2 linked regions of the Xenopus tropicalis genome follow. The protein of the gene in region 1 purifies or fractionates together with the protein of each later gene. This does not show direct contact. Links are inferred from orthologs where the notes say so. Each region holds a gene or a part of one and is shown on either strand. Other genes may lie near its edges.

Region 1 (5,846 bases):
AACTGGCTTCCATTAGCGGCCCTCCACCATGTATGCTAGAGAAATTCCAGCCCTCGGCACCGCAGAAGTTGGACAGCACTGCTCTATACAATACAATGGGACTCTATGCAGCTTATGTTATCTGCTATGTAATCTGGGCCCTTTTACCTTTTTTCAGTTTGAACTGCTGCCCCCGGGCATATTTATATAAACTATTGTAGGGTTTTTAAAGTAAATACACAACTTTTACCAGTGCAAGGCAACAGTACATATAATATTAGTTTGATACACTTTAATTTTTTGTTGTTACTATTCCTTTAAGATCCTCAACAAATAATCTTGGGTCGCCAGAAGTTGTTGGACTACAACTCCCAACCTGCTTTCACCTAGGGATGCGTCGAATCTAAAAAAGTTTGGATTTGGCCGAACCCCCAAATCCTTTGCAAAGGATTCAGCCGAATAGTGAACAGAATCCAAATCGTAATTAGCGTATGCTAGTTAGGGTTTGAAAGGCATAAATGTTGCTGGCGAAAACTTTTCAACTACTGTGTTTATGTGCCAAAAAGTCATGTGATTTTTAGGATCCAGATTCGTCCAGGACCATGGATTCGGCCGAATCCTGGATTTGATGCATCCCTACTTTCAAACTTGTGCCAGCTATGAGCCCTCATTTGATGCCTATGTTTTCTAGATATTAGCTGCTCATTACTGGTTGATAATTGCAGCCTGTCGGCACAACACTGTCCCCTTCAAGCTTCATAAATCATTTTGGGGTTGTACGCTGATTAAACAGAATGTAAAATCCCTTCTGGAGAAGATCTGGATTCAGATGCAGGTTCATGGTCACATGGGTCTCCAATATGATCCTCTAGTTCAGGGATCCCCTACCTTTTACTCAGGAGCCACACAAGTATAGAGAGAGCTCTTTGGGGATGCCAAATAAGCCCCGTGTGGCCTGCAGGAAGCTTTGTTTGGAGTAAAACGGTCTCTGTGCTCCCAATTTTTGCCGCCAAGCAACATCAAAGTGGGTGGTGAGCAACATGTTACTCATGAGTCACTAGTTGGGGATCACAGCTCTAGTAAGTACAAGTGGACAATGCTCTGCAAATTTACTCTCAAGCACTCCCAAAAAAATTGGCTCTATATACTTATAAGAATGTGAATTCATTACAGGTCAACTGCTTTGGCAGAGGCCACACCAACAACAATAAATGGCTTCCCATATGGTTGCTACACCCTTGTGTAAAGGTGGCCATACACACTAAGACCTGCTCGCTTGGCGAGGTCACCAAGCGAGCGGTCTTCTCCCGATATCCCCACATACGGGTGGGCGATATCGGGGAAAATGTAGGCTAATTCGATCGTTTGGCCCTGTGCAACGGGCAAATCTAAATCTTTTAACCTGTCCGATCAATATCTGGCCAATTTCAGGCCAGATATCGGTCGGGCAGGGCCCTCGTTCCTGCCCCATACATGGGCCGATAAGCTGCTGAATCGGTCCAAGGGACAGATATCGGCAGCTACAATCGGCCTGTGTATGGGGACCTTAAAACCACCTTTATGCGGTCAGTCTTCCAGGTGGTTTACTACTGCGCCCTGCTCAGTAATACATATAATGTGGGCAATAAAGTTACCATCAGAATTCAAGTTCACAGTTGTTTGCTCTAAGTGCTTTTATTTAAGCAAATTCCTACTCACATATATATATAATAATTTTTTAAAAAAACACATAGGAAATTAATGGCCATCAACCATTTACATCCAGCTAAGGCAGCTGAACAAAAATACAAAACAAGAGAGGCTCCTGGAGTTTGGGGAGGACTCATATCTATTGCCTCCTCCCCCTTATTTGTGGGGCTGGGGATCCCCAAATATCTCAAGACCTTGAGATAGTAATTTATTTCGGCTGGAAAGCCACAGTCCGTAATATTTAGAGGAAAAAAAACAAAAGAAACCAAAACAAAAACAGTCTGTTGCAGTGGCTGCGGGGTCCACAGCCATGCTTGCAATTTCCTGGAGAACACTAGAGCAATCCTGCTCATTTATGTACCTGTCCGGTAGATAAAGATTCCTAGCATGTTGGGTGCAAGAAAATGTGCCAGTTCATGCAAGACCATTTTTGCAATTAGGCTAAATTCTATGCCTTATCTTGCATTTCCCAAAGACAAACCGGCTTCAAACAAGTTACCAGCAATGGCTCACAAAGCCGATGTTTATCTAAGGTCAGTGACAGCATGATTAATTAGCACCAGGCAGCAGAGAGATTTAATTGCAGGAAATGAAGTCTCTTCCTCGCTGAATGTACCGACATGCCTCAGTAGAGGAGGTGGCAATAATGCGACGGGCAAAAGGTACCCACGGAAGCTATAAACTGATGCTGTTAGGGACTCCAGGGCCACTACATTCAGCTCAGAGCCTTACTTTTACAGGCTCAAAGAAAAGAAAAAAAGGAGACAAAGATAGCAGTGTGAAAGAATGAAGTGTAACAAAATGTTTAAATGGATGGGCCTTGGTAGCTTTGGAAATATAAAACACTGAAACATTAAAAGGTTGGAAGTTTTCAGTTGAAATAATATACTGCTGAGCGAAAGGCGGGAAGATCTGTCTCGTTACGAGAGGAAGACTGCTTTTGTGTAAAAAAAAAAAAAAATCCTACTAATTGGTGAGTGGAACTACCGGCAAGCTAGACACTCTGGAGCGACAGAAGTGTTAAGTTGGCAGTGATTGTAGAGTGCTCACAGGAAGCCGAGACTGTTGTGGTAGAGAGTTTGTGGCAGTTTCCCTTGCTGCAGCCCATATTGCCCCTCTGTTACTGCTATCACATACAGTCCATGGAATTCTCTGGGATTGGGTTAAGTGCAGCTGCAAGACCCTTAGACGGGGCACAGTTAGGAGGCAACATTGCATTAGAGGCAGGGTCCACGTTTTCAATGTCTTCCATCTTTGCCTCGCTCGCGCATTCCCAGTTGATGTGAAAGCGTGTGACGCGTGGGTTTGATGCCAGGATGTTTCTCTGAAGCTGTAGATAGATCAAAAAAAAAAAAAAAAAATTGGACAAATGGTCATCTAAACCAGAGTGGCAAGCAGGCCAACACCAAAACCTGCAAGATGCCACAAGCAGTTTGTGGGCCTAACTTTTCCCAGGGACCTCCCAATTGGTGGTATCAGTCCCAGCCCCCCTGGCTGCTGGGTTCCTGGTTCACTTCAATAATAGTCTTAGTTATCCAGGCAGGAATGATGGCTACAGGTGCTCCCTTTATTTACCAACACCTGTTTTGAATCTGTAATTATCTAGGCTTTGAATTCCTACCTCCTAGTTTCTCCCATGCCTGTTATAAGTCTACCTACCATAGTTCCTGGGTACGCATTTTGTCCTGTCTTGTTCTGACCCCGGCCTGTATCCTGACTGAGTTAATTCTCCCTGTTTGACTCTGCTTCTGGATCCAGATTGTGTACTGCGCTACCATTCAGGTTTTGACCCGGCCTGCCTGATTTGGATTCTTGTAAGCTCCCTCTCACCTTAAGACCTGGCGGCACCCGAGTAGTGGAGGGCTCAACCCGAAGCCAAAGGTGGGCGTTATAGGCAGAAGTGTGAGCTATGACCGGGACCCTTGTTCTGGGTTACCGATCTTGACAATACTAATCAAAAAGCCTTACATACACAGACACACAAGTTATGTAAATACCTGGCCGAAATGTGGTTTGAGAGGTGGGTTCTCCCGTAGCTCTGGATCAGAATACTCATTGTTTACATAATATCCAACTCTGATAAACTCCTGACCACGGTACGTGCAAGTAATCAACACTACAGTCACTCCTACAGCGTCGGACTCGGGGATAAGGCTGGAATTGGGAGCATCTGCCTGCATAGGAAGAGAGAAATTTACTATAGGTGCTCAATCTAAAAATATAAAACAAAGAAAAAAATCCTCCATATCAGTCCATGGTAAGTCAATTAAGATGTATTAATAAGACTTCACGTCAATCTGATCTAATGCAAGACTCTGTAAATAAGCAAGATAGGAGACAAATGGAATGTCAGCTCTTTGACACTCACTTGAAAGACGAACATGTGGCGGCCGGCGGGGACAGGTCCCACCAAGACAGAATCCAGCACCTGATCATATTCTTCACTCTCAGCAGATCCCACATAGATGATCTTCCATTCCAGATCTAATGAGACAGTGCATAGCATACAATAAATGTGACAATACTGCTGGCGAATAACCACCCATATAACCCGATTAATGCATTCAATAAAGTTTTGCTTGTCTGGTTTAAAACCAAGGAGCATATGGGGGGGGGGGGGGGGGGGGAGAATCTGCCAGACTTCTCACTGAACACCCACTTGTACCAACTACAAAGTAGAGGAGCAGCAGTGAAGGGGTAAATGCATATTTTAGGCATAAAGACAAAAACCGTAAACATATTTTCAGTTTATCAATAATTGAAGACATGCAATGTATTTTTTTTTTTATCTAAAAGCAATAGCTGGAAAAACCATCAAAGTAATTGATAATTAGAATAGCCTAAGCTGAAACAGCACGCATACCATCATATACTGTATGTGACATCTGCAGTGACCAAGCTGCCCAGAGTGTAACCATTAAAACTGGGGATGTTCTTGAAACCTTAACATTGCCCACCACAAACTGCACTGTGAGAACTGATCTTTAGGAGCCCTATCTGACTGCTTGCCCCAGTACTGCATTATTATACATGCACACATACATGGGAGCTTTTTTCTGACTACAATGGCATCTAATTATGTAGGAGCATTGGTTTTTCACATGAAATAAAAATGTAATTCATTCATTCATTCATTGTGCTCATTTTCACTGCTGGGCTCAATACTGGCCATTTGAGCTCTGACACCACAATTGTCAAAAATATATAAATGCATAACAGGGATGCACTGAATTCAAGGTGTCAACCAAAACCACAGCCATTTTTGCAGGATTCAGTTAGGTCGAAACCTTTAGAGAGCAGTGATCCCCAACCAGTAGCTCGTGAGCAACATGTTGCTCTCCAGTCCCTTGGATGTTGCTCCCAGTGGCCTCAAAGCAGATGTTTATTTTTGAATTCCTGGCTTTTGGCCAAGTTTTGGTTGCATAAATACCATATGTACTGCCAAACAGAGCCTCATGTAGGCTGCCAGTCCACACAGGGCCTACCAAATAGCCAATCAGAGCCCCTATTTGTAACCCCAGGAAGATGTTTCATGCTTGTGTTGCTCTCCAACTCTTTTTACATTTGAATGTGGCTCACAGGTAAAAAAGGTTGGGGAACCCTGCTTTAGAGCAATGTTTTAATATTTAGCTGTACAAGGAAAGGGACAAGCCCTTGCAAATGTTATTGTAGAAGTGCAACGTTTCAGGACAAAGAATGCCTTTCTCAACCCAATTTGCCTTGAAAAGTTGCACTTCCGCAATAACATTTGCAAGGGCTTGTCCTGCTATTTGCCAGCGCTCATTTCTTTCCTTGAGTTGAGGGGTGGTCGAGTGGAGGGTGCCGAGGGAGCCTCAAACTCTATCGCTGGAGAGCCAGGGGGGGTGCAAGTGACAAACTCTCCTATCATGTCAAAATGTATCTGACAGATTTTCAGCGGTTTTCAACTTACTTGTAAATGTAATTGCTATTGAAGCAGCAAGTGTCTCTTGATATTCTCAACCAATGTCAGACTGGGGTGTCAGGGGCCCACCAGGGCCCCCCACCTCAAGGCAGCTCCTACCCCCCTCGCATCAACCCTAACACATCTGCTCCCAATCCACAGATCCATATATATTTATAGATCCACGCCTTTCCAATCTCCGACATCACAGAGGGGTCAGAGCAGGCGCGTGCTCAAGGCAGTCTAAGAGCTCGCC
Region 2 (6,479 bases), on another chromosome or scaffold:
TGATCAATCATATTAAAGGGGCAGTTCACTTTAAATTTACTTTTATTATTTAGAGAATGATATTCTGAGACAATCTGCAATTGGTCTTCATTTTTTTTTATTTGTGTTTTTTGCATTTTTTTAGCTTTTTGTTCTGCTGCTCTTCAACTGCTCTTCTTGGGAATTTCAGCAGCTATCTGGTTGTTAGGGTTCAAATTACCCAGCAACCATGTAGTTTGAATGCTGCAAAACTGGAATATGAATAGGTGAAAACCTGAATAAAGATAAAACATGTAACAAGAAAAAACAATAACCATTTTTTTAACAAACTGTAATAATGGGTCTACTTGTGGATCACATGTTACTATGATCAAATGCACACAGTAAAGCATCTGTGGGCAGCAATCACAGGTTAAAGGAGACAATGCTTCCATTGTACATGCCTACAGTGAGCAGCAGGATACTGTATTTTTAGGACTCAAAAAGATATAGTTCAGTGATACTTTTAAATATGGCTTTATGTGTTAAAACTACCTGATATATTGGCACGTAGCCAGGAGCATGCCTTCTCTATAGCTAGGGCCACTGCTATGTCCTCAGCACTATTCAGCACCTAGAGGGGAAAAGAGACAAACCACCAAAATATGATCATGCACCATATAAACAAAATATGTACACACATACATAGAAATTGAAGTGAATTCAGTTCTATATCATTAATTACATAATTACTAACTATATTACTAAATTTACTAACTATACATTATTAATTATTAATACTGCTTACAAATCCATATTGGATAAAGGGGTTTAGCCATGCCTACGGTAGTTATACATAGCCCATCCATTTGCCTTTCTAGCAACAACATGCCTGCTGTATCCAATCAGGAAGAGAATATTAGTTTAGGCGAGAAAGGCATGGTAAGGGGAACGTGTGTGTGAACCAATGTTCCCTAGTTGGTACACCCCCAAAGCCCTCCATAGGTCAGTTCTGTGGTGCCAATGCTTACGAGCAAGAACAGACTAAAGCTTTGGTGTCCAGGACCACTCTCCTCCTTTAACTCTACACTTAGCAGTTGGTTAGAATGAATTCTGACACTTTTCGAGAAGAAATGCCTATTTATTTTGTCCAAATTAATGTAAATGTTTTACAATACTACAATAATATTCTCAACATTTTTGCAAAGCAAGTAGCGCTACCTACAGATGCAGATATCTCCTCAGGCAACAGAACTCGAAGGGCCTCTGGAACTTTCTTTGTGCAATACCTACAAACAGCAATATGCAGTAAATGAGCACTAACGAAATAAAAGGGCACAGAATATAGAACATTCACTGTACAATCAGAGTCAAAATAAGCGACTCCCAGACCAAAATGTGATAGGAGTGCTTTAGGCCAGGCAGAACATCCCATCAGCTGAAGACAGCATCCACATGTGAATGGGGTCCATGGCCAAATGGGGGTCATTTAAATTTTGTAATTTAAAATAAAACTGAAACAGATTAATTGGTTCATCGTATAGGAGGTAGATCTGCTCATCTTGTAACCTGGTAAAAAACAAATTCTGTGTGTGATCTGTATGATCAATTTAAAGAAAAAGTAAACCTTCAAAAAAAGTAAATGTGAAATTGATGACAGTGCTATTTTAAGCAGTTTTAACAATACAGGTTTGTTTGTTTTTGTTGTTTGTTTTTTTTTTTAAAGATTCAATGATATTAAGGGAAATATGTACAGTTAATATATAAATAATACAATTTAATATAAATAATGAATTTTGTTACAGCAGCGCTACCTGCTGGTCAGTTTCCCGCCATGGTGTAGTCGAGGAACTTGTCAGGAGAAAGGGGGCTTGGCCTGATGTTTTTCTGGTTAGGAAAGACGTGAGAAAAGCTACTGGGGTGCTTTCCCTAACCAGAAAAACATCAGAGCAGCCCTTACTGACCAGCTGGTGGCGCTTGTGTAACAACTTAATTCATATTAACAGTGCATATATCCCTTAATATTCCTTTAAATCTTGAAAAAAAAATTGCAAAATTAGTTAGAATAGCACTCTTAGCAATTTTACATTCACTTAAACTATGAGGTGAGACTGTCGAGGTTGGGGTTGTTTTCTCTGGAAAAGAGGCGCTTGCGAGGGGACATGATTACTCTGTACAAGTACATTAGAGGGGATTATAGGCAGATGGGGGGTGTTCTTTTTTCCCATAAAAACAATCAGCGCACCAGAGGTCACCCCTTTAGATTAGAGGAACGGAGCTTCTATTTGAAGCAGCGTAGGGGGTTTCTCACAGTGAGGGCAGTGAGGTTGCTGAATGCCCTTCCTAGTGATGTGGTAATGGCAGATTCTGTTAATGCCTTTAAGAGGGGCCTGGATGAGTTCTTGAACAATCAGAATATCCAAGGCTATTGTGATACTAATATCTACAGTTAGTATTAGTGGTTGTATATATAGTTTATGTGAGTGTATAGATGTTCTATGTTTAATAAGGATCACACTTAATCTAGTTGTATTATTATTTGTATACAGTGGTGTGAAAAACTATTTGCCCCCTTCCTGATTTCTTATTCTTTTGCATGTTTGTCACACAAAATGTTTCTGATCATCAAACACATTTAACTATTAGTCAAAGATAACACAAGTAAACACAAAATGCAGTTTTTAAATGAGGGTTTTTATTATTTAGGGGGAAAAAAAATCCAAACCTACATGGCCCTGTGTGAAAAAGTAATTGCCCCCTGAACCTAATAACTGGTTGGGCCACCCTTAGCAGCAATAACTGCAATCAAGCGTTTGCGATAACTTGCAACGAGTCTTTTACAGCGCTCTGGAGGAATTTTGGCCCACTCATCTTTGCAGAATTGTTGTAATTCAGCTTTATTTGAGGGTTTTCTAGCATGAACCGCCTTTTTAAGGTCATGCCACAACATCTCAATAGGATTCAGGTCAGGACTTTGACTAGGCCACTCCAAAGTCTTCATTTTGTTTTTCTTCAGCCATTCAGAGGTGGATTTGCTGGTGTGTTTTGGGTCATTGTCCTGCTGCAGCACCCAAGATCGCTTCAGCTTGAGTTGACGAACAGATGGCCGGACATTCTCCTTCAGGATTTTTTGGTAGACAGTAGAATTCATGGTTCCATCTATCACAGCAAGCCTTCCGGGTCCTGAAGCAGCAAAACAACCCCAGACCATCACACTACCACCACCATATTTTACTGTTGGTATGATGTTCTTTTTCTGAAATGCTGTGTTACTTTTACGCCAGATGTAACGGGACACGCACCTTCCAAAAAGTTCAACTTTTGTCTCGTCGGTCCACAAGGTATTTTCCCAAAAGTCTTGGCAATCATTGAGATGTTTTTTAGCAAAATTGAGACGAGCCATAATGTTCTTTTTGCTTAAAAGTGGTTTGCGCCTTGGAAATCTGCCATGCAGGCCGTTTTTGCCCAGTCTCTTTCTTATGGTGGAGTCGTGAACACTGACCTTAATTGAGGCAAGTGAGGCCTGCAGTTCTTTCGATGTTGTCCTGGGGTCTTTTGTGGCCTCTCGGATGAGTTGTCTCTGTGCTCTTGGGGTAATTTTGGTCGGCCGGCCAGTCCTGGGAAGGTTCACCACTGTTCCATGTTCTTGCCATTTGTGGATAATGGCTCTCACTGTGGTTCGCTGGAGTCCCAAAGCTTTAGAAATGGCTTTATAACCTTTACCAGACTGATAGATCTCAATTACTTTTGTTCTCATTTGTTCCTGAATTTCTTTGGATCTTTGCATGATGTCTAGCTTTTGAGGTGCTTTTGGTCTACTTCTCTGTGTCAGGTAGCTCCTATTTAAGTGATTTCTTGATTGAAACAGGTGTGGCAGTAATCAGGCCTGGGGGTGACTACAGAAATTGATATTGAAATTGAAAATTGAAATTGATAAACCACAGTTAAGTTATTTTTTAACAAGGGGGGCAATCACTTTTTCACACAGGGCCATGTAGATTTGGAGTTTTTTTTCTCCCTTAATAACGTAAACCTTCATTTAAAAACTGCATTTTGTGTTCAATTATGTTATCTTTGACTAATAGTTAACGGTTTTTGATGAGCAGAAACATTTAAGTGTGACAAACATGCAAAAGAATAAGAAATCAGGAAGGGGGCAAATAGTTTTTCACACCACTGTATATTGTAATACAGCTATTCTGTTTCTCCCATTAAAAGCTGCCCCAGAAAACATATTCATAATGGCAACTTGCATAGCAACAGTAATATCAAAATAGGAGTGTATATATATAGTGTTTTTGAGCTTACTCTTTGCCTTTCTGCACTGCCTGCCTGCCATCTTCACAGAGCTTGGTGCATACAGTCTCAAGCTGCTTGCTGTGGGTAGAACTGTCCTCTGTCACACTATCCTGCAGGAGGAGCTCTGCCCTCTTCACAAGTTCTGCCACAAGAGTGGCCCTGCAGGAAATAAGCTCAGCTGTAAATGTACCAAACAGTCCGGCTTGCATACCCACACACTGTCACTGTAGTACTTACGCCACCATAGCATTACAAACCAAACCCAATATATAAAAAATGCTCTCCTGTAAGCAACGGATATTTATAAAGTATTGCAATGAAGACATGCACATCAGAATGCACAGCTTATTTATAGTCCATGAATATCTTGTTAGAACATGTCTAGCATTAATAGAAAGAGCCTGCAAACCCTTACAACCACTTACTTGATGTGCTTTACACAGTTGGAACCAATTCGTTCTGCCACAAACTCCACTGTTCTCCGAAGAGAGGGCGACTGATTGTGGAAGAATGCTTGCTCCAGTTCGGCCTGTACAAATATGAGCAGAAACACCTACTACAGCAACATAAAATGATCACTATCCCCCCATAGGAACAGAAGGATGATTGACTGAACACATGCTTGAGCCAGGCATCAGCTTTCATAAACGTGTTAATTCATTTAAAATCTTCCAGTCAGAAAACTGTTGATAAATGGGGAAAATAATGAACTGCTAGGAATCCTTCAGAATTCCCAGCTTAATATTTTACAAATCGGTTCCGAGATTTTTACCCCTAACTAGTAAAATACATGGACATTCCCCACACCTGTTCATATGCCCATAGTTACACTGCATAGCTAATTATGTGCATATTTAAATTAATTTGTGTGGAATTACATAATCTGGATCAACTAGCAGTAAGGTAGGCTTCACTTAAACAGGATGAACTTGATGGGCGTGTGTCTTTTTTCAACCTCATCTATGATGATACTATTGGGTTTTTGTTTTTATCATGAAAGCTTCTAACGCTTGCACAACTGTATCTGCTATCAGACTGACAATACTGCTTCTCTGTTGGCTGGCACATTGAACGTGCAACTGTAAAGACAGTGGCATAAGGTAATGGTGAAATAGCTAGGGAAACTACGTACATACAGAATGTATCTGTCCTAATGGATTCTTGCACCATGCCAAGCCCAGGCTTAGAGCACCTACTACAGGAATGCTGGAATCCAGAACCACAAGATACTTGCTGTCCCTTACTTTCTCCACTGTTACATAAATGGATAAACCATTCATTTTACCTGAAGTTTTTTTTGTGATAAGGTAGGCTTTGGGATAAGAGGCTCTGCAGCAGTGGGAGTTATTTTCCTCAGAAAACCCCCATTTTTGGCACTGCTACCAGCCACAAATGATAACAGTAACTTTTTCAGTTCTCCTGTAAATGATATAAAGCAAACATGTTACATATATACATGCACACAATACAATGAACAATTGGTGAAAAAGCACTAGTTTAATGGATGTTACTTACCCAGATATGGGCAACAACTATACAGCAGCTGTTGGTCCACCAAAGGCATGGAGTCCTAGCAGAGGTGAAATAGAAAATATAATGCTCTATGACTTAAGATTGTAGCAAACTGGAAAGCACCCCTAGCATTCCCAACCCCAAAACAGCCTAGCTGTGTCACTGGAACTCCTGTTTAGTATAAGGCAGCCTGGGGAATCCTATCCATAAAACTCAGGCTTTATCCAATGAAATGATTAAGAGGTGAATATATAAACGAGATCTATCAAAATTTAGGCAAAATAAGAATCTGGAAGCAATTGATCAATGATACGGTTATAGTATGAAAGATTCCAACATGCTACACTTTAATAATAACTGTCTAGGGTTAAGATGCACATGGGATTTACCTGGAACTGAATTGCCTTTTCTAGCCTTGTGCTTGAAAAAGCATGGTGTGGGAGACTTATCTACAACCATTTATATGAAATACACATTCACAAGGGCATTTGTGCTTATATGGACACTCTTTCCCACCCATTACTAGGTAAGGTGTAATCATTTAATCACATAAAACCAAACCAGCATCCCTTTAAGCACACAGCTGTACAAAGGCTCTAACTGCACAAAAACATAACCGCTAACTTCTCTTATTTATCATTTTACCATTTTGTCTTTAACAAAGGTTTGGTAGTTTGATGTAGTTCAATTCGTAAGAATGTAGCTTTCTG

Evidence for each region. Proteins that work in one complex are often made in the same cells at the same time.
Region 2: the proteins of asf1b (region 1) and cdan1 purify together in Homo sapiens (co-immunoprecipitation; 5 studies listed by BioGRID and IntAct, counting the BioPlex papers as one, with this or other methods). This does not show direct contact. The link is inferred for Xenopus tropicalis from reciprocal best matches to the Homo sapiens genes ASF1B and CDAN1.

What each region holds. Positions count from the first base shown.
Region 1 is NC_030679.2:134,220,220-134,226,065, forward strand, and holds the end of asf1b (histone chaperone asf1b), read right to left. Parts: intron 4,153-5,846; coding exon 4,037-4,152; intron 3,843-4,036; coding exon 3,666-3,842; intron 2,999-3,665; coding exon 2,798-2,998; 3' UTR 1,638-2,797; downstream 1-1,637. UniProt on the Homo sapiens protein: Histone chaperone that facilitates histone deposition and histone exchange and removal during nucleosome assembly and disassembly. Cooperates with chromatin assembly factor 1 (CAF-1) to promote replication-dependent chromatin assembly.
Region 2 is NC_030684.2:105,934,732-105,941,210, reverse strand, and holds part of cdan1 (codanin-1), read right to left. Parts: intron 5,828-6,479; coding exon 5,773-5,827; intron 5,677-5,772; coding exon 5,543-5,676; intron 4,787-5,542; coding exon 4,683-4,786; intron 4,417-4,682; coding exon 4,267-4,416; intron 1,248-4,266; coding exon 1,184-1,247; intron 593-1,183; coding exon 514-592; intron 1-513. UniProt on the Homo sapiens protein: May act as a negative regulator of ASF1 in chromatin assembly.